Elephas maximus indicus: one gene and its partners. The protein of the gene in region 1 purifies or fractionates together with the protein of each later gene. This does not show direct contact. Links are inferred from orthologs where the notes say so. Each region holds a gene or a part of one and is shown on either strand. Other genes may lie near its edges. The genes, in order: CDK1, CDC25B and SAMHD1.

The links.
Region 2: the proteins of CDK1 (region 1) and CDC25B purify together in Homo sapiens (affinity purification with western blotting; 4 studies listed by BioGRID). This does not show direct contact. The link is inferred for Elephas maximus indicus from reciprocal best matches to the Homo sapiens genes CDK1 and CDC25B.
Region 3: the proteins of CDK1 (region 1) and SAMHD1 purify together in Homo sapiens (affinity purification with western blotting; 3 studies listed by BioGRID, with this or other methods). This does not show direct contact. The link is inferred for Elephas maximus indicus from reciprocal best matches to the Homo sapiens genes CDK1 and SAMHD1.

What each region holds. Positions count from the first base shown.
Region 1 is NC_064834.1:27,394,362-27,402,123, forward strand, and holds the start of CDK1 (cyclin-dependent kinase 1), read right to left. Parts: upstream 5,194-7,762; 5' UTR 4,980-5,193; intron 1,925-4,979; 5' UTR 1,900-1,924; coding exon 1,863-1,899; intron 1-1,862. UniProt on the Homo sapiens protein: Plays a key role in the control of the eukaryotic cell cycle by modulating the centrosome cycle as well as mitotic onset; promotes G2-M transition via association with multiple interphase cyclins.
Region 2 is NC_064843.1:42,404,974-42,412,735, forward strand, and holds the start of CDC25B (M-phase inducer phosphatase 2), read left to right. Parts: upstream 1-3,102; 5' UTR 3,103-3,294; coding exon 3,295-3,494; intron 3,495-4,346; coding exon of another isoform or gene 4,347-4,388; coding exon 4,389-4,477; intron 4,478-5,312; coding exon 5,313-5,364; intron 5,365-7,164; coding exon 7,165-7,206; intron 7,207-7,355; coding exon 7,356-7,392; intron 7,393-7,694; coding exon 7,695-7,762. UniProt on the Homo sapiens protein: Tyrosine protein phosphatase which functions as a dosage-dependent inducer of mitotic progression. Directly dephosphorylates CDK1 and stimulates its kinase activity.
Region 3 is NC_064843.1:32,593,855-32,601,616, forward strand, and holds the start of SAMHD1 (deoxynucleoside triphosphate triphosphohydrolase SAMHD1), read left to right. Parts: upstream 1-3,591; 5' UTR 3,592-3,805; coding exon 3,806-4,016; intron 4,017-7,762.

The DNA of each region.
Region 1 (7,762 bases):
GTGTTGACATGTCATGGGATTAGCAACCAATGTCACAAAACAATATGTGTATTAATTATTTAATGAAAAACTAATTTGCTCTGTAAACCTTCATCTAAAGTACAATTAAAAAAAAAAATCTCCAACCTAACTACCACCCTAACTTGTCATTGCCATTATCTTACTAAATTCCTGTCAGTATTCCTCCTCTTATTTAATATTCCTTGTACATTGGAGTTTTTGAGCTTACTAATAATATAGATGGGAATGTGTCTCAACAGAACTTACACAAGACCTAATAGCAAATTATTTCATCAAAATTTTATCATTTGTTCCTGGAGTTTAGAATGTTAATATCAAAACTCCTACACAGAAACTTACATGTCCTCTTGAAGAAGAAAATAGATAAAGGGATATTTTTACCCTTCCCTTATGCCATATACTAAAACATTCTTTAAAAGCTTTAACAAAAGTACTATAGAGAAAGAACTGATTACATACAGAAGTTAATGGGTTCACAACAGCTTAAACATATACATATGACAGTCGTTTAAACCTGTTGTTGTATGATTCCAACTCAAGTGTGACCCTAGATGACCCTATATGACAGAACTGCCCCAGAGGGTATCCTAGTGTGTAATCTTCATGAAGTCTCTTCTCCTGGGGAGCAGCTGTGGTTTCTGTTACCTTATCAACCCTTGTGCCACCAGGGCTCCTTCATTTAAACCCAGAGTAGCTAATTTAAGAAGTATTCAAAGTAGTTTAATATTTAATTACTACACTCCACTTAGCTTGGAAACCCTGGTAGCATAGTGGTTAAGTGCTACGGCTGCTAACCAAAGGGTCGGCAGTTCAAATCTGCCAGGCGCTCCTTGGAAACTGTATGGGGCAGTTCTACTCTGTCTTATGGGGTCGCTATGAGTCAAATGGCATTGGGTTTGGTTTGGGTTTTTTTTTAACTTAGCTTATGTAAAATTATTTATCATCCTAAACAAAACTATGTTGTTGCAGTGTGCCGTAGAGTTGGTTTCAACTCATAGCAACCCCAATGACAGAACTGCCCCATAGGGATTCCTAGTCAGAATCAGGTTTGGTTTAATCTTTTGGGGAGCAGATCACTATGTCTTTTCTCCCGTGGAGCTTTGGGTGGATTCAAACAGCCTCTGACTTTTCTGTTAGCAGGTGAGCGATTAACCATTGCACCACCAGAGCTCCTTAAATGTAACTATAAAAAAACAAAAAAAACCTATTGCCCTCCAGTTGATTCCAACTCATAGCAACCCTAAAGGACAGAGCAGAACTGCCCCATAGGGTTTCCAAGGAGCAGCTGTAGATACGAACTGCTGACCTTTTGGTTAGCAGCCAAGCTGTTAACCACTATGCCACCAGGGTTCCAAAGTATAGAAGACTAAAAATATACATGAAATTAATATATAATTCCCCCCACCACATAACAGTTATCAATAGTGTTTTCAAAACACAAACATTACTTATATGACACAATAAGACAGCCCCATGGGGTTCCTAAGGAGCAGCTGGTGGATTCCAACTGCTGACCTTTTGATTAGCAGCCGAGCTCTTAGCCACTGCACCACCAGGGCTCCCAGATATTACTTAAGTGTTTAGTATTAGGAGAATACTAATATTTTGGGGAGGAGCCATCAGGAACCATATATATTAGAATGAGTTTAATTCTCTAGAAATGTGAATAATTTTGTGATGTTTAGGTTATTGTATATTATGTAAAGAATGTTTAAATTTATGAATATTAGTATTGGAAGATACCTTAGAGGTTAAGTTATACAAACATTTACATTTCTTTATGCCATGGGTGTTGTAGCATCGTTAAATCATTTTAAAACTTAATTATTGAAATCACTCACCTTCCCCAATTTTCTCTATTTTGGTATAGTCTTCCATAGTTACTCAATATGTACTGTAGATCCTAAAATGAAAAGGAAAAAAAAAAGAGACTGATTTGATTACAGGCCACTAACTCAAAAGGTGGTTTTACGTCACTATATGTGAAACATTTAGCAGTGTTTGGTGCATTTTATATTAAGTATTCCACAAATGTTAGTTATTATACTAAAATATTTACATATTTTATGTAAGTTATTTTAATACTTACAATACTTATTTAATATTTATATGTAAAATATTTACAAGGATAAGGACACCTGCAATAAGACTTCCCCACCCACTTTACCATCTAAGGAGCCCTGGTGTGCACTGGTTAGAGCTTGGCTACTAAACAGAAAGTCAGCAGTTCAAATCTACCAGCAGCTCCTTGGAAACCCTAAGGGGCAGTTCCACTCTGTTGTACAGGGTCTTCATGAGTCAGAACTGACTCGATGTCAATGAGTTTGTTTTTTTTTTTGTTAGCATCTAAAACATTGAAAGTATTTATATATTCCATACTAGTACTTAGCTCCTTCTTAATCAAATTAACCCTCAAATTAATGGATTTACAAGTAAAGTCCATCCTTCCCGAACAAAAACCAGGAGTATGTTCTCTTTAACACTTTTAAGGAGCAGCAGCGTATGCCAAGATTATACCAATGTATCAGCAACTAATGTCATTTGACTGAATTTGTACTGCTTTTTACATTTTTATGAAGATGTTAATTCAAAAGAAAAAAATTGTAAAAGACATGAGTAGGGAGCTAAAATATGGTCAGACTGCTCACCCATTAGATTGTTTTGAGCCCCCAAAACTAAGTGTTTATAGCTACTCATGTGGCAGTTTTAAACTTTCTGCTTTGTTTTTAGCAGTCACATCCACAGACTTGCTCATCTATTAAAAGTCTTTCAAAGTACTTTTTCCAAGAGTAGGAAACATCCCTGAAAGGTAAAGCTGAAAAGTACCATCCCATAGATAAATTTCTAATTGCACACTATGCAACATCCAAAACTATTGCTGAGATAATCCTTAAACCTTAAACCAAAAACATCCCCTGAAGTCTTCTTAAAGCCAAACAAGAGTTTAACCTTTTTCTAGTAAAGAATGCCTGCCTCAGCACTATGCTCTTTTAAGAACTATCTATATGGGATTAAATTGACAACAGTAACTCCAAAGATTAGATAGGAACCTTAGGGGGCAATGAGTTTATGCCAACGGGGGAGGAACAACTCAGAAGAGGGTGAAAACGGTTGCTCAGCTCAAAGAATCTAACCACGCTCACTGAATTGTACACGGGGGAACTATACTATATATATAAAAAAGTAAGTAAATAAATAAAAGCTTATTTGCTGGCCACCAGACACTCAAGACTTCCTCAGCTGGTAAGCTTGCCAATGAAACATAACTTCAGAAGTCCAAAGCAGAATTACTTTGATTTTTTTCTAACTCAGCCATCACTGACGATAAAAGCATGAAAAGATCAACTGAGCAGCTGATCCTTAGACGTTCTATTTCTTCCACCCACCTTCGCAGGAAAAAAAAAAATCACAACAGAAAGTAGTAGGGTAAATCATTGTGAATAAACAAAACTCCACAACACTGGGCATGAGGGCTTACTGTAAGAATTTCTCATTTTATAAAACTGTAACGGAGAACTTAGGACAATTATTTTTCCTCAATAACCAGATGTGATACGTCTAATGCACGATAAAACTGTTGAGCTCACTTCGAATAAATATTTAAAAACTAACAATTCCAAAGCTGGCTTCGATTACCCTCCTCAGGTCTTCCAGTTGTAACAATTTTAAGTAAAACAAGCAGCTTTAGAAGGCCTCTCCAGTGCCCCTCCTGAGGCTCAGCACTATTAGCTGCAGGAAGCTGAGTACCCACTAGGCTTAGTCTTCCTGTCCAGAGACTTCCAGAGTCCCTTAGAGGAAGCAAAACGGGCCGATGAGTAATGTTAACACTAGATAAAAATTAATTAGAGGCCTAAAAACACACGTTTCAAAATATACACCCTGCTCAGAAAACCAGTTCCAAAACAATTCTCAGTACAGATGCTTCCTCAAGATAAACTTTAGAATTACTCATGTCCTCCCTGCAGTCACCAAGAAGGGTCTCATGAGTGCTTCAAGGCCAGCTGCACCCAATTTAACGATTACTCTAACTTTTAAGCAATTTTAGAAATGTATGTAATCTATCAATCAGATGTATCCTTGCCCAATGTTGTCACCATTACCTAAATGTTAACCAATCACTAAATTTTTACCGTAAGTTCCTTGTATTATAAAAACTCTCTAAACTGTCTCCTACTCGGATCACTTATTTCAGAATCCGCAGGACCCTGGAATTCCCAGTTTGCAAACTGCCTTGCTCTGAATAAAAACTCTTTCCATTTTTTGTCTATCCCATAGTAGACAACAACTACAAGTATAAAACAAATCTTAAAAAGTTCCCTCTGGCTCTGCCGCCTTGTAAGGTGTGGGTGGGCAAGGGCCGTGGGGTGCAGCAAGGCCGAGAAGGTACAGAAGTCCACCGGGTCAGGTTCTCTGGACCGATGGGTTGAGTGCCCGGCGTGGGTACCTGGCCCGGGTACCTGGCCCACCTCGAAGCCCGAGCGGAGCGTGCGCAGAAGGCAGGCCCCGACCGCGGGACCCGGGACCGAGCCTGGCACTCCACGGGAGCTCAGCGTCCTCGAACAAGTGCAGTTAAATTGCTTCAACTCTGTTCGCACTATAACCAGAAAGCCTCCTCAACCAGGTAGGCAGCCCCTTCCTAAAAACAGCCGACCCCGGTCCCACCCTGGAATTCCGAAGCCAAGGCAGCCCCAACCCTCCACGGAGTAAGCCACTCAGGACTGGATGTCCCCTAGACTCCCCTTAAGTGGGGCCCCGGCGTCGCTTACACGCTCAGGCCGCGGGTCCCGAGCTCCAGGCCCTACCTACCCCCACCCCCCGAGGCCAGGCCTGGGCCACGTAGACACAATCCGGGCCCCCAAACAACACCTCATGCCTCAGTACTCCCCCTCCTGAAGCCCCGATCCAGCCCCTGCCAAGTCCGCGCCCCGTCGGCATGGCCCTGACCCCTGCAACTCTACCCAGCTTATTATCCCGCGGTGGTGACGGCGGCAGCGGCGGCAGCGGCTACCACGTCCGCGTCGCTCTCCTCAACTTCCAGGATCCAGGTTTGAAGCTAAGTGAACGCAGTTTCAAACTCTCCGCGCTAAAGGGTCTCGGATCCACCAATCAGGTATCCCGTAGACTTTCAAAGGAGCCAATCAGAGCTCAGTTACGCTGGGGCCTGCTTTCCCCGCTGGCTAGAGCGCGAAAGAAAGAGGAAACGGCGGCAGGAGAGGAAGCAGGAGGGCGGGCCCCAACTGAGTCTGCACGCAAGCGCTCTCTTTCATTCCAGGGGAGCGTCGTCCTACTGTTTCTAAGTCCTTGGTAATCTGCTGTTCTCCGTGGGGTTTTTCTCTCTCTGTAATGATACAATTAATTTTTATCACACTTAAATAGCTTATCACAAAAATAAAACTACACTTACATCAAGGTTCCATTCCTTCCGATTCTAATACTTAAGGCTAATGTGTATTTATGTTTTTCTGAGTGGCTTGCAGCCTAGGCGTAACTATTTCTCTAAAGGAGCACATTTTTAGTTGCCTTCAAGATGAAAATATTGGAAAACTGAAAGATGCTCTCAGTGATCTAAAGAAATTACCTTAGTGTGTTAAAAATATACTTTTTTTGTTTAATTTTAAAATGTGTTCATATCAGAATTTTAAATGTACTTTACATGCACAAAAATTAACAGTTCTACGAGGGGAGAAGAGGAGACCTTATACTTTAAGTAATCCAGTGTCAAAAACTGTTTCATTCCCCTCCGCCATACCCTTAAGAGGGATTTCTGCTCTTGAACATCATTCTTACCCCTTTGTTGTTATTTGTTACCCCTTTGTTGTTATGTTACGCCTTTGTTGTTATGTACGGGTCAAGTCGATTCTGACCCCTAGTGACCCTGTAGGGAGGGGCTGCTGGATTCAAACTGCCGACCTTTTGGTCAGCAGCCAAGCTCTTAACCACTGCCCCACCAGGGCTCCTTTAGGCCTTTAGGAAACAAAACAGTATATAGAACTGGGGTTATCTTTGCATTGATGATAACTACGCATAGAATAGCGACTATCACCACCTCTCAGAGCCCTGGTGGTACAGTGGTTAAGCATTCAGATGCTAACCAAAACGTGGGCAGTTTGAATCCACCAGCTGCTCCTTGGAAACCCTATGGGGTAGTTCTACTCTGTCCTATAGGGTCGCTGTGAGTCGGAATCCAGAGGAGGGCAACAGGTTTGAGCTTTTTGGACCACGACCTCTACAAATGTGTATTAAAAAAGCTCTGACAATTAAGAGTGTATAACAAGGTGGATGGAAACCCTGGTGGTGTAGTGGTTAAGTGCTAAGGCTGCTAATCAAAGGGTTGGCAGTTGGAATCCGCCAGGCGCTCCTTGGAAACTCTATGGGGCAGTTCTACCTGTCCTACAGGGTCGCTATAAGTCGGAATCGACTGGATGGCACTGGGTTTTGGAACAAGGCGTATGTAAATTTTTGTATGAGAGACTGACCTGATTTGTAAACTTTCACTTAAAGCACAATAAAAATTAATTAAAAAAAAAAAGCTTTAATTAGGATGAAGAATGGAAGTAGTATATCCCAAGCATTGTGTTTGATACCATCCCACACAACTTGAGGAGAAGGAGCAGAGTCTGTCATCTGGCCCTACATGTGGCAATAACTCAGACTCGACAACATTACACTCTCAGGCCACAGAGGCAGAGCATTTGGGGTCCATGGTGGAAATAAGAGTTGGTAAACTTCCCCGCTGAGCCTAACAACTTTTAAAACTTACTTTTAAAACCCCAAATTTATCCCACTCCTCGGGATATACCCTAGAGAAATAAGAGCCTTTACACGAACAGATATATGCACACCCATGTTTATTGCAGCTCTGTTTACAATAGCAAAAAGCTGGAAGCAACCAAGGTGTCCATCAACGGATGAATGGTTAAATAAATTGTGGTATATTCACACAACGGAATACTACCCACCAATAAAGAACAGTGAGGAATCTGTGAAACATTTCATAACATGGAGGAACCTGGAAGGCATTATGCTGAGTGAAATTAGTCAGAGGCAAAAGGACAAATATTGTATAAGACCACTATTATAAGATCTTGAGAAATAGTATAAACTGAGAAGAGCACATACTTTTGTGGTTATGAGGAGGGAGGGTGGGAGAGGGTTATTTACTGATTAGTTAGTAGATAAGAAGTACTTTAGGTGAAGGGAAGGATAATACTCAATACATGGAAGCTCAGCTCAACTGGACTGGACCAAAAGCAAAGAAGTTTCCAGGATAAACTGAATGCTTCAAAGGTCAGCGGAACAAGGGCGGGGGTCTGGGGACTATGGCTTAAGGGGACTTCTAAGTCAATTGGCAAAATAATTCTATTATGAAAACATCCTGCATCCCACTTTGAAATGTGGCGTCTGGGGTCTAAAATGCTAATAAGCGGCCATCTAAGATGTATCAATTGGTCTCAACCCACCTGGATCAAAGGAGCATGAAGAACACCAAGGTCACACGACAACTATGAGCCCAAGAGACAGAAACGGCCACATGAACCAGAGACTTACATCATCCTGAGACCAGAAGAACTAGATGGTGCCCGGCCACAACCAATGACTGCCCTGACAGGAAGCCCAACAGAGAACCCCTGAGGGAGCAGGAGATCGGTGGGATGCAGACCCCAAATTCTCATAAAAAGACCAGACTTAATGGTCTGACTGAGACGAGAGGAATCCCGGCGGTCATGGTCCCCAAACCTTC
Region 2 (7,762 bases), on another chromosome or scaffold:
ACCAAAAGGTTGGCAGTTCAAATCCACCAAGCGCTCCTTGGAAACTCTATGGAGCAGTTCTACTCTGTCCTATAGGGTTGCTATGAGTCAGAATCCACTTCATGGCAACGGGGGTGGTATAGCCATAACTTACAGCAGCTCTCTGTGTACTGCTATGGATCCATCTCCAAGTGAAATAAACCAAAGTGTTTAATATACTGTTTATATATATTTTAAAATAGGGTCATGAATCTCCTTATAAATGTATAAATCTGCACTATCCAGTACAGAAGCCACTAGCCCCATGTGACTATTGAGCACTTGAAATATGGTGACTACAAATTAAGATGTGCTGAAAGCATAAAAGGCGCATTGGATTTCAAAGACTTGGTACAAAAAAAACAAAATATCCCATTAATAATTTTTATATTGGTAACTTGTTGAAATGATGTTGTTTTGCATATATTAAACCCATTGCCATCTAGTAGATTCCAACTCATAGCGATCCTATAGGACAGAGTAGAACTGCCCCATAGGGTTTCCAAGGAGCGCCTGGTGGATTCAAACTATCAACCTTTTAATTAGCATCTATAGTTCTCAACCACTAAGCCAACAGGGTTTCCAATACATTAGGTTAAGTAAAATATTAAAAGTAACTTCACCTGTTTCTTTTTACCTTTTTAAATGTGCTTACTAGAAAATTTTAAATTACATATGTGGCTCAAATTTGGCCTCCCATTATGTTTCCATTGGCTAGGGCTATTACAGACTATCTCCAGAGGAATATAGAACCAATTTATAACAGTGGCTCCCTCTGGGGAGGGAGTCCTGAAGGGTTGTGTTGGGCGGAGATGGACTTTTCACTGCCCTTTTGTACCATTTAAATTTTCTCTTTTGTCTGAATTTTAGTACCATCTACTACTTTTTAAAAAACATTTAACACGTCACAAAGCCATGACAGAAAAGGCACTAGAAAAATTAGTCCCACAAAGGAGATACTATGTGGTTACAGACTTGGAGAAACAAAAGATTTTGCAAACACTTGATAATTTTTCCTCCCCTTTTACTAAGGCCCCAGGGTCACACCAGAACCAGATGGTCTCAAGGTGATTCCAACTCATGGAGATCTTATGTGTGTCAGAGTAGAACTGTGCTCCATGGGATTTTCAATAGTTGATTTTTTGGAAGTAGATCACTAGGCCTTTCGTCCAAGGTGCGTCTGGGTGGACTTGAACCTTCAACCTTTCGGTTAGCAGCCATTAACTGTTTGCAGCACTCAGGGACTCCAGGGTCACACTGGATCACCTTAAAAGAGCTGAGAGCTGATGTATAGGACCTTATGCCAAACCAAAAATCCATTTCTGCCAAGTCAGTTCCAACTCAGTGACCCTAAGGACAGAGTAGAAATGGTCACAGGGTTTCAAAGGCTGTAAATCTTTATGGAAGCAGACTGTCCTATCTTTCTCCAGCCAAGTGGCTGGTGGGTTTGAACCTCCAACCTTTCCCTTAGCAGCTGAGCGCTTAACCACTGCACCAGCAGGGATCCCTACCTTATGCTCAGATGTCTGTTTACTGGGAAAATGGAGCTGTCTGCCACCCAGAAATTTCAGCCTAACCAGTGCCTGGGCTGAATAGGAGGAGTGGTCCTCTTGCCATAATGGCTATAAATATTTCAATGTATTTTATTGACTAGTTTTTTTGTTTTGACTGAGCACATGATCTATGATAGAATTGACAAAAAGATTCAGGGAGAGTTGGTGTGTGGGATGGCCTGGAGTGTCTCCTCTGTGGCCCTGGCCCTGGGTCACTGGCCCAGTAGGGACCTTCTGACTGGGGGATTTCAAGGAATTAGAAAGTATAACCCCCCACCCCCACCCCACACACACACACACAACTGCTGTGTTGATTTTGAAAATGTAGCCCTCAGGGCAATTTTTTTTTTGGTATTTGGGGTGGGCAGCCTCACAGGGGCCCCCAGACACTGAGGGTAGTCCCAGCCTTGGATGTTGGGAGCGGCTGGAGGTCCAGACCTGTACTCCTGACCCAGGACGGATGACCCCAAACCTCAGCCCTGTTTGGCACAGCACAGGAGGTGGCCAAAATGCTGAGATAAAGAAAGATCACCTGTGCCCACCATGGTCTCTCGTCACAGGGGGTACTGGGGTCTTCCCCTTGCCTCCACAAATCCGCCAGCCCACCCACTGCCAGTCCTTCCCTTTCGCCATCCCACTTCCTCGGCTCAGGGAGTCTACTGCGCCCTGGCTGGATGGCAGATGCTGCATGGAAAGGACGCAGGGCTGCAGCTTTTGCCTTCCCGAGCTGTGCCCCCGCCTCTGAAACCCTTGGCAATCCAACCACGGCGCCTCCTCTCGGGCTGTGGGAGAAAACTGGCCTCTTGGGTTCACATCTAATCTGGGGGTCCCTGGAAGCGCCTGTCAGTTCCAGGTTCGCCCCCCCCCATACCGCCCCCAAGTCCTGTGCAAGGGTTTCTGAGTGGAAATTTCACTTGGCGACCGGCTGGCGCTGCCAGTCGTGGGGGCAGGCAGGTTGCAGGCTTCTGAGGCTCCTGGATGCCAATGTCGGTCGGCTGCACGACTTGCGCAATCGTGTGACCTTGGGCGAGTTAATTAACCTCTCTAGACCTCAGCGTTCGCGGCTGTAAAATGGGAGAACGAACACAGACCGCAGAGCAGCCGTGTTAGGCAAATTCCTCGAGCCAATTGAGCCTCTTCAAGGTGCCTGCTGGTGATTGTATTTGATGTTAAATTGCGGGGGGCTTTTCGGAGACCCCCACCCCCAGCCCCAGCGGGCTGTTGCTTCCTCTGGGGTCCTCTCCACTGGAGACGTATAGCTCCGGGCCACATCCTGAGAGAGGTGGAATTCGGGAGGCCAGGATCTTAGCGGCCAGGCTTGGTGGGGGGGGGGGGGGGGGGACAGAGGTGTGGGACAGGACCCAATTCTCCCCCCCAACCCAGAGCCTGGGAGCCGGCGGGGCGGGCCGGGTCGGCCCCGCCCTCCTGCAACCCGCGCCGGGATTGGCGGCGTCCGGCGGCGCGGCCGCTGTTATTTTTCGAATATATAAGGAGGTGGAAGTGGCAGCTGCAGCCAGAGGCTTCTCGGACTGGTGGCTGGTTCCTGCGCCCCTGCACCCCTCCCCACCCTCCCCGTCTCCCTCGCTCCCGGCCCCGTTGCTCTCCCTCCCTCCCTTCCCTTCCCCCCGGGCGGGCGCCCTCCCTCGCCTCGGCCAGCTGTGCCCGGCGTCTGTTGGCGTCCCCGCGCCCGGCCTTCCAACCAGCCTCCTGCGACCCTGCCGCGATGGAGCTGCCCCAGCCGGAGCCCGCGCCGAGCTCGGGTCTCAGCCCGACCGGCGTGCGTGGTGGCGCGGAGCGTCCGGACCACCTCCCGGGCCTCCGGCTGGGAGCTCGCGGCTTCTTGGGGTCCCCGGAGCGCGCGGCCGCTTCCTCGCCGGTCACCACCCTCACACAGACCATGCACGACCTCGCCGGGCTTGGCAGGTAGGACGGCCCAGGAGGCTGGGCATGGGGTAGGAGGCCCAGGTTGGGATGTGGTCCCAGGACTCCTTGGGAGGCCGGCCTGGAAGCTGAATCTAAAAGGTGGGGTGCAGAGGCCGGGGCGGTGCAGCTCACACACTCCGGGCGACCTGCTCTCCGCCCCACCTCCTCCTTCTCCCGCATTGTGCCCGCACCACGCTATCTCCCTAATCTCTGTCCAGGCGGGGAATCCCAAACCTGGTGAGGGAATTTGGGGTGGCAGAGCAGTCCGGTCCTCCCATCTCCTTGGTCTTGTTCCCCACCCCCACCCCGTCCCAATTCTGCTGGGGGATCCGGGGTGAGGGGATTAAAGGCCGATCTTGCTCCTTAAGCAAACCTGCATGGTTCGGGCTGGGTTGCCCTAGCGGCAGTAGAGACGCAGGTTTTGGCCTTTTCTCCAGAAAGGCACGTGGATGGGTGGGGGCCTGGAGAGTTTAGGGAAAGCCTAGGGCTTCAGCTCCTCTGCTGCCTACCCATTCCCCAGGCTGGCTCCTCCCCCTCATCCTTCTTGCCCTGGCCCTAGGCTTTCCTCCCCCTGCACCCAGGAGGACCCTTCCTAAAGCAAGACAAGAAATGTAGGGCCACTGTAGGATGAGCCTACCTTGGTCTAGGAAAAAAGTACATTGCCCTTGATAAGCCCACCTCCTTGGTGTGGTGCCCTACTGAGTCCTTCCCCCAAGGAATCTGCTGCCTTCCTGGGACAGTACAGAAGCTGATGGGCCCTTCAGAGCGGGGTGGTGGGCTGGAACACGGGCTGTCAGCCCCTGAGCCCCACATTTACCTTTTTCCTTCTCTGGGCCCGTGCTGCTTTCCCAGCGAGACCCCAAAGAATCAGGTAGGGACCCTGCTCTTCCACAGCGGCAGCCGGCTGCCGTGCCCATCCCTGTCCCGACGACGGGCATCTGAGTCCTCCCTGTCATCTGAGTCTTCTGAAGCTTCTGATGCAGGTAAGGCCCAGGGGTGCCTAGGGAGGTCCTCTAGTGCTCCAAGAGTTTGAGGGGGCTGTCTGAATCTCCCAACCTCCCTGATGGTCAGATTAACATCTTTCCCACCACCTGGTGGGCTCTGGAGCTTCCCCTCTTGTCCACTCATCTGAGAGGAAGACACACCTCTGGTGGAGGTCACCACACCCAGCCCAGACAGGCCGACTGGAGGGTGGGGCCCTAAGGGGAGATCTCAAACCAGGCACCAAGGGTCCTGAACCACAGCCCCCTGGGAGGCATTCAGGGCTGAAAGCTGGTCTTTGTATAGCCTTCTCTTACCTTAACCAAAAAAAAAAAAAGAAAGAAACCCGTTGCCATCCAGTTGATTTCCGACTCATGGCAACCCTATAGGACAGAGCAGAATTGCCCCATAGAGTTTCCAAAGAGCTCCTGGTGGATTCAAACTACTGACCTTTTGGTTAGCAGCCCTAGCACTTAACCACTACACCAGCAGGGTTTCCCCTCTGACCTTAAGCTGTAGCTTTTTCCTTTAAAGGAATAATTTGCTTCTAGAGCAAATGATTTTAAATCTGTTCAAGAAAAACGCTTAGCAAGGGTTGCAGTTTAACAACGCATAGAGAGATTTTCATAATAAACAGGCCCAGGGGCCCTGTGCAATTTGGAGGACAATATGTCAGCCTTTGAGGTCCATGGATGGTTTTTGTTTCATTTTTTAATGTGTCAAGATCTTAAATAGAAACAGATTTTCTTTCCCCCCTTCTTTGAATAGGGTTGGGACACAGTAGAGAAAGTCCGGGAAATTTCACTACCTTCCTACCAAAGTGTTCTGTCCCCCCAGGTCTCTGCATGGACTCCCCCAGCCCCATGGACCCCCAGGTGGCAGAACAGACGTGAGTAGAGAATGGAGACCCCACACCAAGGAGTCAGCGCTTGCCTTGGGAATCCCAGTTCTAGCATAAACTCACTGGGGGTATCTGGAGAAGTGACAAACTCTGCAGGACCCACATATGGGGGAACTCAGGGGCCATCTCAGGTTCCAGGATTCTGCCCCCATCTCAGAGAAGGGTCTGCGCTCATGGGAGCCAGCTGGGAGTGGGCTCAGGGCCAGGGGTGGTGGGGACAGTGACTCCAGCCAGCCCTTATCATGTAGGAGCGTGGGCCCAATGCATGGCCCATCTTTCTTTATGCCTGTACAGATTATTTCTGTGAAATACCACAGTTTTAGAATGGGGCCCAACTAACTCCATTTTGTTAACTTGCTGTAAGCCTAACAAAACACACTTGCCTACAGGCTGGTTTGGCCCTTGACCGTCAGCAATATCTGGCTTCAGTGACTCTTGGCCCTCTGGCCAACCCCTGGACCAGGGCCCTGTGAGACGGAGTGGGGCTGTCCCCTGGACAGACCCTTCCCCCTTGGTGGTGGGGCATGGATAGTGTCTTCCAAAGTACAGCTGTTCTGTCCAGCTGTTAGGGCTCAATCAGGGGGAACAGCTGCCAGCCATTAGTGGGGACAGCTGGGCGTCCCCAGCTGGGCTGGGGAACTATAGGTTTGAGTTTAGGGCAATGGCTGTCTTTCCTTCATTGCCTTTATCAGCCTGGGCTGGGCTGCAGGGTTGGTTCACAAACAGGAAACAGAGAGTTGGGTGGGGGTGCGGGTAAGGGTGGAGGCTGCAGGTTAGGTTTTGGTGGAAGCACAGTCAAAGCTGGACCTGCTTTACCCACAAGACCCAGGTGCTGACTGGAAACCAAACAAATGGAAGGGAAGATCTCTGATGCCAGGGCTGCTGGGCATAGCCTCCACCTAGGGGCCATCCTTCTGACACTTTAGCCCTGAGTCTCCCTCCCTCCCCCACCTCTGCACCTGCTTTGACGGTTACACAAAGTTCCTCAGAAAGAGTCTGGGGTGTGTGTGTGTGTGTGTGTGTGTGCGCACGTGCATAGATGCACAAAAGCCCTGCGTGGCAGGTGGTCTCCTGTAACATAGCTGGGAGGCGGGGCCTTGGTACGGAAAGCTTATGCCCTAGCCTCAAAAGGAACATCTGTCGGAATTCCTCGGCCTCTTCTAAGGCAGGAGGAGGGGGTGGGACAGAGGCTTGGGTCCTGGAAAATTCCATAGGAGGGAGGAAAGGATGTGACCCAGTGCATTTGTCACTAGGGGGCCTGGCGTGGCAGATTGGGACTGATCCAGGGGAACATTAAACCAGGCCTCTGTCCTGGGGTGAGGGGGCAGGCCAAGGGGATAGAAGCCCAGCCTTGCTGGCATCCAGGCCCTGGAGACTCCCGCATTGTCGCGTGCCGGGCCTGTCATCTGCAGGATGGATGGATGCTTTTCCTGGCGGCCATATGGCCCCACTGAGGCGATTTGCATACAGGTGGAAGGCCTGTGGGCAAGCTGGCGAGACTGTTGCCTTGGTGACGCCTCAGTGACCCTGCGACCAGCCCCAGCTGTCTCTACCACAGCCGTTCTCTGCACCCTCTTCCATTTAGAGCGGCTTTAAAGTCCTAGGCTGCCTCTCATCTCCCCTCCCCAGTGTCTGGCTCTGATAAAAGTGGGCATTCTTCCTACTCCTCATTTCCACTGGCCCTTACCCTCATTCTTGCCCCCAGGCCTTTGGTCTGGGACCTGAGGCTGGGGGAAGGAGGCGGGCTACAGGAAAATGGGCTGCATGGGGTCCCCCTCTCTCCCCTAGGTTTGAACAGGCCATCCAGGCGGCTAGCCGAGTCATTCGGAAGTGAGTGTTCCAGGGCCTTCCTCACTCAGTGTTGGGTGGCATGGGGAGGGTCCTGGTGTATACAGCTCTGTGGCGGGGGACATGCCGGGTGCTCTGAGTCCCTGCCCCCTACTCTCCCAGCCCTGACCTGCCCCCATTTCGGTCTGCAGTGAGCAGTTCTCCATCAGACGTATCCAGTCCATGCCGGTGAGTGCTCTCTGAGGCCAGGCATGGGGAAGGGTGGGAGAGAAGGCTGCACGGGAGGATTTGGGGCCCTGAGGAATCTGGCCTGTGTCTGTGGGTCTGACCACCACATCTTTGCTAATTTGGGCCCAGGATAATGACGAAGTCCCCTCCCCCAGCTCACCTCCCAGAAGGTGGACTTACTTCAGGTGGCCGGGTGTCCCTGGCCTGGCTGTGGGAGATGGGGTCCAGAGGCAGAGGGACACACTGAGGATTCTCTGGCACCAGAGAACCCAGCCTCAGTACCTGCCCTCCCTGCTGTCTAGGTGAGGCTTCTGGGCCACAGCCCTGTGCTCCGGAACATCACCAACACCCAAGCGCCGGACAGCTGGAG
Region 3 (7,762 bases), on another chromosome or scaffold:
ATTGAGCTGGTGTTGAGAACCAGCAACACTGGGGGAAGAGGAAGCTATGAAGAGACTTAAAACCGCAAGGGTAATGCTGCCAGAAATTGCACAGCTTGGCTGGGTGGGGAGATGGTAGCTGAGGAAGAGGGTTTACTGGAAGTATTCAAGGAGTCCTGATGGCACCATGATTAAGAGCTCAGCTGCTAACCAAAATGTTGGCAGTTTGGATCCACCAGCAGCCCTTTGGAAACCCTATGATTTGTCCTACAGGGTTGCTGTAAGTTGGAATTGACTCGAGGGCAGTGACAGTTTTTTGTTTTGTTTTTGATATTCAAGGTCAGTGGACAGTGGGCCCTAAATTAATTGACCTTATAGTCTTTTCTAGTCCTAACCATGGCGTGATTGACTTTAGAAGAAGGGAGATTGAACTCTCACATCTCTCAACTTGACCAGAGCACAAGGTCTGCATCTTGTAGATATTTGTTCCCAGGTTGTGGAATGACTGAATGGGACAGGACTGCGAGTGGATTTAAGTGGCAAACTGAAGAGCACAAGCTTTAGAGTCTGACAGCCACTGGCTTTGAATCCTGACTCTTCTACTTACCAGCAATGTGACCTTGAGCAAGTAATCACCCTGTGCAAGATCAAGTGCCCCTATAAAATAGGGGGCTGGGGGAAAAATAAGGAATACAACATTAAATTATACTTGTTATGGATTGAATTGTGTCCCCCAAAAATGTGTGTCAACTTGGCTAGGCCATAATTCCCAGTATTTTGTGATTGTCCACCATTTTATCATCTGATTTTCCTATATGTTGTAAATCCTACCTCTATGATGTTAATGAGGCAGGATTAGAGGCAGTTATGTTAATAAGGCAGGACTCAATCTACAAGATTAGGTTGTATTTTGAGTGGGTCTCTTTTGAGATATAAAAGAGAGAAGTGAGCAGAGGAGATAGAGGGACCTCCTATCACCAAGAATGAAGAGCCAGAAGGGGAGCATGTCCTTTGGACCCGGAGTCCCTGCACTGAGAAAATTCTAGACCAGGGTAAGATTGATGACAAGGACCTTCCTCCAGAGCCGACAGAGAGAGAAAGCCTTCCCTTGGGTCTAGCACCCTGAATTTGGACTTCTAGCCTCCTAGACTGTGATAGAATACATTTCTCTTTGTTAACGCCATCCACTTGTGGTATTTCTGTTATATCATCACTGGATAACTAAGATAATGCTTTTTAACAAACAAAAACAAATAGAAAATAAAAGTTCTCAAAAGCAGCTGCTTTGAACAAACCCAACTGGTTAAACTTAAAACCCTGCTTATATCCCTTTCTATTGCCCAGGAACCCTTGTTGTCAGGGTAGATTTTCCCCAAGTCTCATAAGCACAAACTTTCAAACCAGCCATTTCCAACTTCAAATATAAGTCTTTCACACATGCGCTATTTATTGTGTCTTTTACCCCCTTGTTTCGATTACACAAGTTTTGGCAACTGTCAGATTTTTTTTTACAAATTGTTTAGTGCTTAAGGACACTTGCTTTTCTGCCTTAGCCTTATGTACCAATGGAGAGCAAATCTGGTGGTACAGTGGTTAAGAGCTCGGCTGCTCACCAAAAATGTTGGCAGTTTGAATCCACCAGCCGCTCTTTGGAAACCCTATGGCACAGTTCTACTCTGTCCTATAAGGCCGCTATGAGTTGGAATAGACTCAACAGTGAGTTTTTCTTAATACTCCCTTACCTGAGCCCTGGTGGCCAGTGGTTAAGAGCTCCGCTGCTAATCAAAAGGTTGGCAGTTCGAATCCACCAGCCGCTCCTTGGAAATTCTACCGGGGAGTTCTAGTCTGTCCTATAGGGTCACTATGAGTCAGAATCAACTCGGCGCCCGTGGTTTGGGAATTTGGTATACTCCCCCACAAGGGCTCGATAGCTGGCTAATGCATCTTGTGCTCAGCCACCACACTTCTGTCAGTGAATTCTTGCTAGTATGCCGCCCAGGTTTCAGCGGAACAGCCAGACTAAGACAAACTAGGAAGAAAGGCCTGGCGATCTACTTCCAAAAATCAGCCAGTGAAAACCCTATGGATGACAACAATCCAATCCACATCAGATCATGGAGGTAGTGCAGGACCAGGCAGCGTTTCGTTCCGTTGTGCACGGGTCACCATGAGTCAGGGACCGACTTGAGGACAGCTGACAACAACCAAAAACACCAAACCCCTTGCTGTTGAGTCAATTCTGATTCATAATGACCCTATAGGACAGAGTAGAACTGTAGCATAGGGTTTCCAAGGATCAGCTGGTGGGTTGGAACTACCCACCTTCTGGTGAGCAGCCAAGCTCTTAACCACTGGGCCACCAGGACTCCTAACAACAACAGCAGTATAAAATAATTTTGTATCAAAAACCTATTAACAAACAATGGTGGACAAGTTACTAAGACCATGGACTTGGGAGCCAGGCTAGAATGCCTGGGTTTGAACCCAGGCTTCATCACTTGCTAGCTGTGTGATCTTGGGCAAATCACTTATCTCACTGTGCCTCAGTTCCTACAACATAAGGTTATTGTGGTAAGTAAATGAATTATTTGTGAAGTCCTTAGAACAGTGCCTGGCACACAGTAAAGCTCTAAGTGTTTGTTAAGAGTATTTTAGTTCCCACTCAATTATTAGTTCATACTGCTTGATGATGAACTAATGCGCCTCATTCATCCTTCATCCCCTGGATGGGAATGGTAGAAAGGTGTACCGTCTTTATTATTATTGGTAGTAGTGGTATTGGTACCATCCACCACCCACTGCCGTCGAGTTGATTCCTACTCATAGCGACCCTACAGGACAGAATAGAACTGCCCAGTAGAGTTTCCAAGGAGCGCCTGGTGGATTCGAACTGCCGACCTTTTGGTTAGCAGCTGTAGCACTTATTAGTAGTAGTCCTTTAATTCAGTCAGTTGCATGGACCAGGATTTATAGGAAAGCTTGGGCCCTGCCCCAAAGGGGCTGACGTGAGAAGGAGATGCCTGCCATTTTCACACATTGATACTTTTGGATAGTAAAAGTCTTTGAAGGTAAATTTTGAGAAATCAGATTGACCCCTTCCCTTCCTCTGAGCAGGGCGTTGGGGTGGAAAGAGGAGTTGAAGGGGTCTTTCCAAAGATGTGTCTCCATTTGGAGGGTAGAAGTTTAAAGCCCACCTCTTTAGGGAACCCTGAAGGAAGTGTTCATGGATAGACAGGCATCCCCAATATTGAAGTGCAAGATTAGGGTCTTCGACTTCAGCCCCTTGCCCATTTTTCCCTCTTCATTGGAAAGGTGCTGACAGTGTGATGGCCTTTTATATTTAAGTTTAAAAAACAACAACAAAACAGTTGGCGTCGAGTCAGTTCTGACCTATGGGGGCATCTGAAATCCAGCCAAGGGGACGCCTGGGATAGTCATTTGGAGGAGAGCTACCTTCAGATCGCCAGAAGAGCAGCCATTCCAGAGTGTGGCCAGATGTCCACCAGGGCACGCCCTTTCCCCGCCCCTGCCATTAGCACCGACCAGAGCCCGGGCCTTAGATACACTTCCAGCCCCGCCCCTTAACGTAAACTCCTCAGCCTAAGCGAGGACGACGGGATTGACGCTGCGCCTGAGCAGGTGGCCATTTGTTTGCAGTTGCTGGACTGCTTTGGCCCAGGGCTGGGCTGTCAGTGCGCCTGCGCGGGAGGCCTGTTGGCCGGCAAGGCTGAGCGGACTCGCCTCCAGAGCGGGGTAGCCAGTGCGTCTGCGCGCGGGCCGGCGCCGCAGATCCTTGACTCGGCTGCGCCGGGCGCTGGGTGCAGCCATGCAGAGCGCTGAGCCGGAGCAGCCCTGCAAGCGGCCCCGACGCGATGGGAGCCCGAGAAGCCCGCAGAACACCCAGACTGCAGCGGCGCCGGAATCCCCGGAGCGCGAACTCCACCCCGACCCCAAGACCTGGGGCCCTGAGCAGGTGTGCGCCTTTCTAAGGCGCAGTGGCATCGGTAGTGACCCTCTGCTGCAGACACGTTTCCGAGGTAACGGGGCTAGAGGGGCCGGGGTGGGGGGGCCCAGGGACGCCGATCCGAGGCGGGAACCAGCTGGGGCTGAGGAGAGTGCGCCCTGAGGTAGGGGGCAAGGGGCCCCAAGGAGGACGACCTAAAGCGGAGAAGGGAAGCTGGACGCGGGAGGCGCCCAGAGGGGGAGACCTGAGGTGGGGAATAGAGACAGGAGGCAGAGAGCCTTCGGGAGGAGGCCACCTGAGCCGGGGAAGGAAGACTCCCCCCGGAAGGCACTCAGAAGGGGTGGACCTTGGCCGGAGGGCGCCCAGGAGAAAAGGGGGCCACTTGAGGTTGGAGGGGCAGTGGCAGATTTTGGTCTTACTTTGATGGGTTTCTTCAGGAACTTGCTACCCTAGTGCCAGGTGGATGATACTCGAGTCCTTTTTGAAGTGAGAGAACTTGATTGGAGGGTTGCTGTCATTCAGGCTCTGTGTTACCGCAGATCCTTGCATGCTTGCCACATTAGAGTATGTTCTGAGGCTTTTAAGTTTCTATTTCCCGTCATTTAACTCCTAGTTGTCCCGAAGGGGAGGGAGCTTGTTCATCTCTGAATTAACATAGCATTCCAGTAGGGCTCTAAGCAAGTGTTTGTTGACTGGGTCAGCAGAGTTTGGTAATATTTTGCTCTTCGAATGCAGTTTCCCTTGCTCATTCTGAACACTGGGGTTGTACAGCTGACCACTGAACCCCAGCAGCCCACACCTTGGTCACAATCGCATGGGGGCAGTATGGACTCAGTGAGCCCTTGCTCACACCAGATTTCTGAAGTAGCCTATGTAAGTGCCTTTACTGTCTCATCGTGTTCAGTATCCATCCACTTGAAATCTACTCAACTTTCTGTGTTGGAATGTGAAACTTAGCTCCCAATTTATTCTCTGAGGCGCTCAATAGGAAGGTGGTTCTTTAGTGGTTGTGATTTGCAAATCAAGTTAACTTTTGCAATGGTAGGGTGGTGCCCATTTTGCTGAGGTTGTTTTTTTTTTTTTTTGAGGACAGAGGTGGGAGGAACTTCAGTGTTTCAGGACCTAAAGATAGCTTGAATGGGTGCGGGGAAATTGCAATTCTCTTTTTTAGCTTCCCCCTTTCGTTTCGTTTTCCTCCAAGGCAGGGATGGAATTTTTCTTTGAGTAGCAAGCACGGGACAGGAGTAGCTTTCAATTTTGTCTCTAGAATATGACTGGCTATGTTGTTGAATCTCTGTTTCATTTGTGCTCTGTAGATTAATTCAGCAGCCTCCAGATCGATCTATGTTCTCTCAAACATGTAGTCTAGTGCAGCAGAAGACACTACATGCCTTCAGTGGGTAAAATTCAAGTACAAGGTGCTGGTTCCATGTTTCATTGTGGACTACAATCTTACAATATTCCTGAAATGTAAATGCCATAACCCACGATTTTTATAGATGAAGTATTTGAGGTCTAAAGATATTAAGTAACTTGCCAAAAGTCACACAGCTAGGAAAAAGCAGCTGGATTTTAAGCTTTGGTCTTTGGACTTCAGGACTCATGCCAGTTATACCTGAACATATGCTCTCATCAGAAACCACTGGAGAACATAACCAAATTAGAAAATCATATAAGAGCAAAGGGGGAAAAATAAAATAGAAAAATGGGCAAAATAACAGACTGTTGACAACCAGCCAGTAAACACAGGAAAAGATGTTTACTTTCAACAGCAAGCAAAGAAATACCAATTTTTGCTTTAGACAGGAAAAGATTTAAAATGTTGATAATAGGGGAAATGTTCAATAAAGTTTATGGAAATCGCAATCAGCTCAACCATATTAATGGACAGTTTGGCCATACCTTTTTTTTTTTTTTTTGGTAATACCTTTTGACTTTAAAAGAATTTCATTTATAGGAATTTACAGATGTAATTGAACTGGTATTCAAAGAATGTATTCAAGTGATTCTTGTAACCATAGGTTATATAAAAAAAAAAAACAGAAAATTAGAAATAACCTAAATATACTACTAATAATATATAATAGTGAAGGCTAACATTTATTGAAGGAGCCCTGGTAGGCTAACAGTTAAGCATGATGTCCTTCTCCAGGGACTGATCCTTCCTGATAGATAACATCCAAAGTATATGAGACGTAGTCTTGCTATCCTTGCTTCTAAGGAGCATTCTTAGTTGTACTTCTTCCAAGACAGATTTTTTTGTTCTTTTGGTAGTCCATGGTATATTCAGCGTTCTTCCCCAACATTGCAATTCAAAGGCTTCAATTCTTCTCTGGTCTTCCTTATTCATTGTCCAGCTTTCGCATGCATATGAGGTATTGAAAATAGGATAGCTTGGGTTAGATGCACCTTAGTCTTTGCTTTTTAACACTTCAGAGGTCTATTGCAGCAGATTTGCCCAGTACAATGCATCCTTTGATTTCCTGACTGCTGTTTCCAAATGAAATCCTTGACAACGTCAATTTTTTCTGCATTTATCATGATGTTGCTTATTGGTCCAGTTGTGAGGGAGCAGAGTTGCAATCCCAGTGGGCCTAGAAGGCAGAGCTGAAGACCAGGGCCGAGGGGCCTCTACCCAGAACCCAGAGAGCATGGTTAATACACAGAGCCTCAGGCCAGGGCCGTTGCCTAGATGGTCTCACAGAAGATAGGATTATTTTCAAGGCTTGAGAGCTAATGTAAATTCTTTTGCTGGGTTTGGGACTTGTCTGGTGCCTATTATCCCATCTTTCCTCCTAATTTCTCCCATTTGTAATAGAAATGTCTACCTTGTGCCTGAACCCCCATTGTACTTTGGAAACATAACTTGTAATCTAGATTTCACAGGTTCACGGACAAAGAAGGATTAATTCAGAAGATGAGATTTTGGATTTGAAATTTATTTAAGACTTTTGCATTGATGTGAAGGGGTGAATGTGTTTTGCATGTGGCTAAGACATGAATTTTGGGGGGCTGTTATATATTGAATTGTGTCCCCCCAAAATGTGTATAAACTTGGCTAGGCCATGATTCCCAGTATTGTATGGGAATTCCCAGTAAGTGCCAAATAGTAAAAGCCTAGATTGCCTTGAAGAGACTGTTGGTGGAATTATGGACATCAAAGGCAATACTGGCTCCGAAGGAAGTGAAGAGATCTGCAACGCTGGAGACAGTGCAGATGGTGGGAAGCAGGAGCAGATAAATGGTGACAGCAAAACTGGCATCAGATGGTACAGGAGCGGATCCATGGAGTGAGAGAGCTGAGTGCTTTTGGGCAGGAGGTTTGTTTGCAGAGTAGGGTACCTCTAGGCACTTATCGCCAGAGCTAGGTTTGCTGAACCACGGAACAAGAGAGCTGAGCACCTTCAGGCGGAGAGGCCAAGGAAACAGGAAGCAGAAACTGAAGAGACAAAGAGCATGGGAAGCAGAGCTGCCTCAGTCTCAAAGGCTGGGGCCACGACCTCTGAGGTTTCAAAGAGTCAGATCTTCAACTCAGCTCTGGAGTGTGGGGCTGTCATTCATGTGTGTCAGGGTGATGGGGCCAGATCTGCTGCCCACAGCTGAGGGGACAGGGCTGCCACATCCAAGGGGCAGAAGAACGGGACCTGTCAGGGCTGAGGAGGTGGGGTCACCACTCAGATGGACTAGGAGAATTGGGCCGCCCAAATCCAAAAGAGTCAAGTTGCCATCCCAGTGGGCCTAGAAGGCTGAGCTGAAGCCCAGGGCTGAGGGGCCTCTACCCAGAATCCAAAGAGTGTGGAACACCCAGAGTCTGGAGGG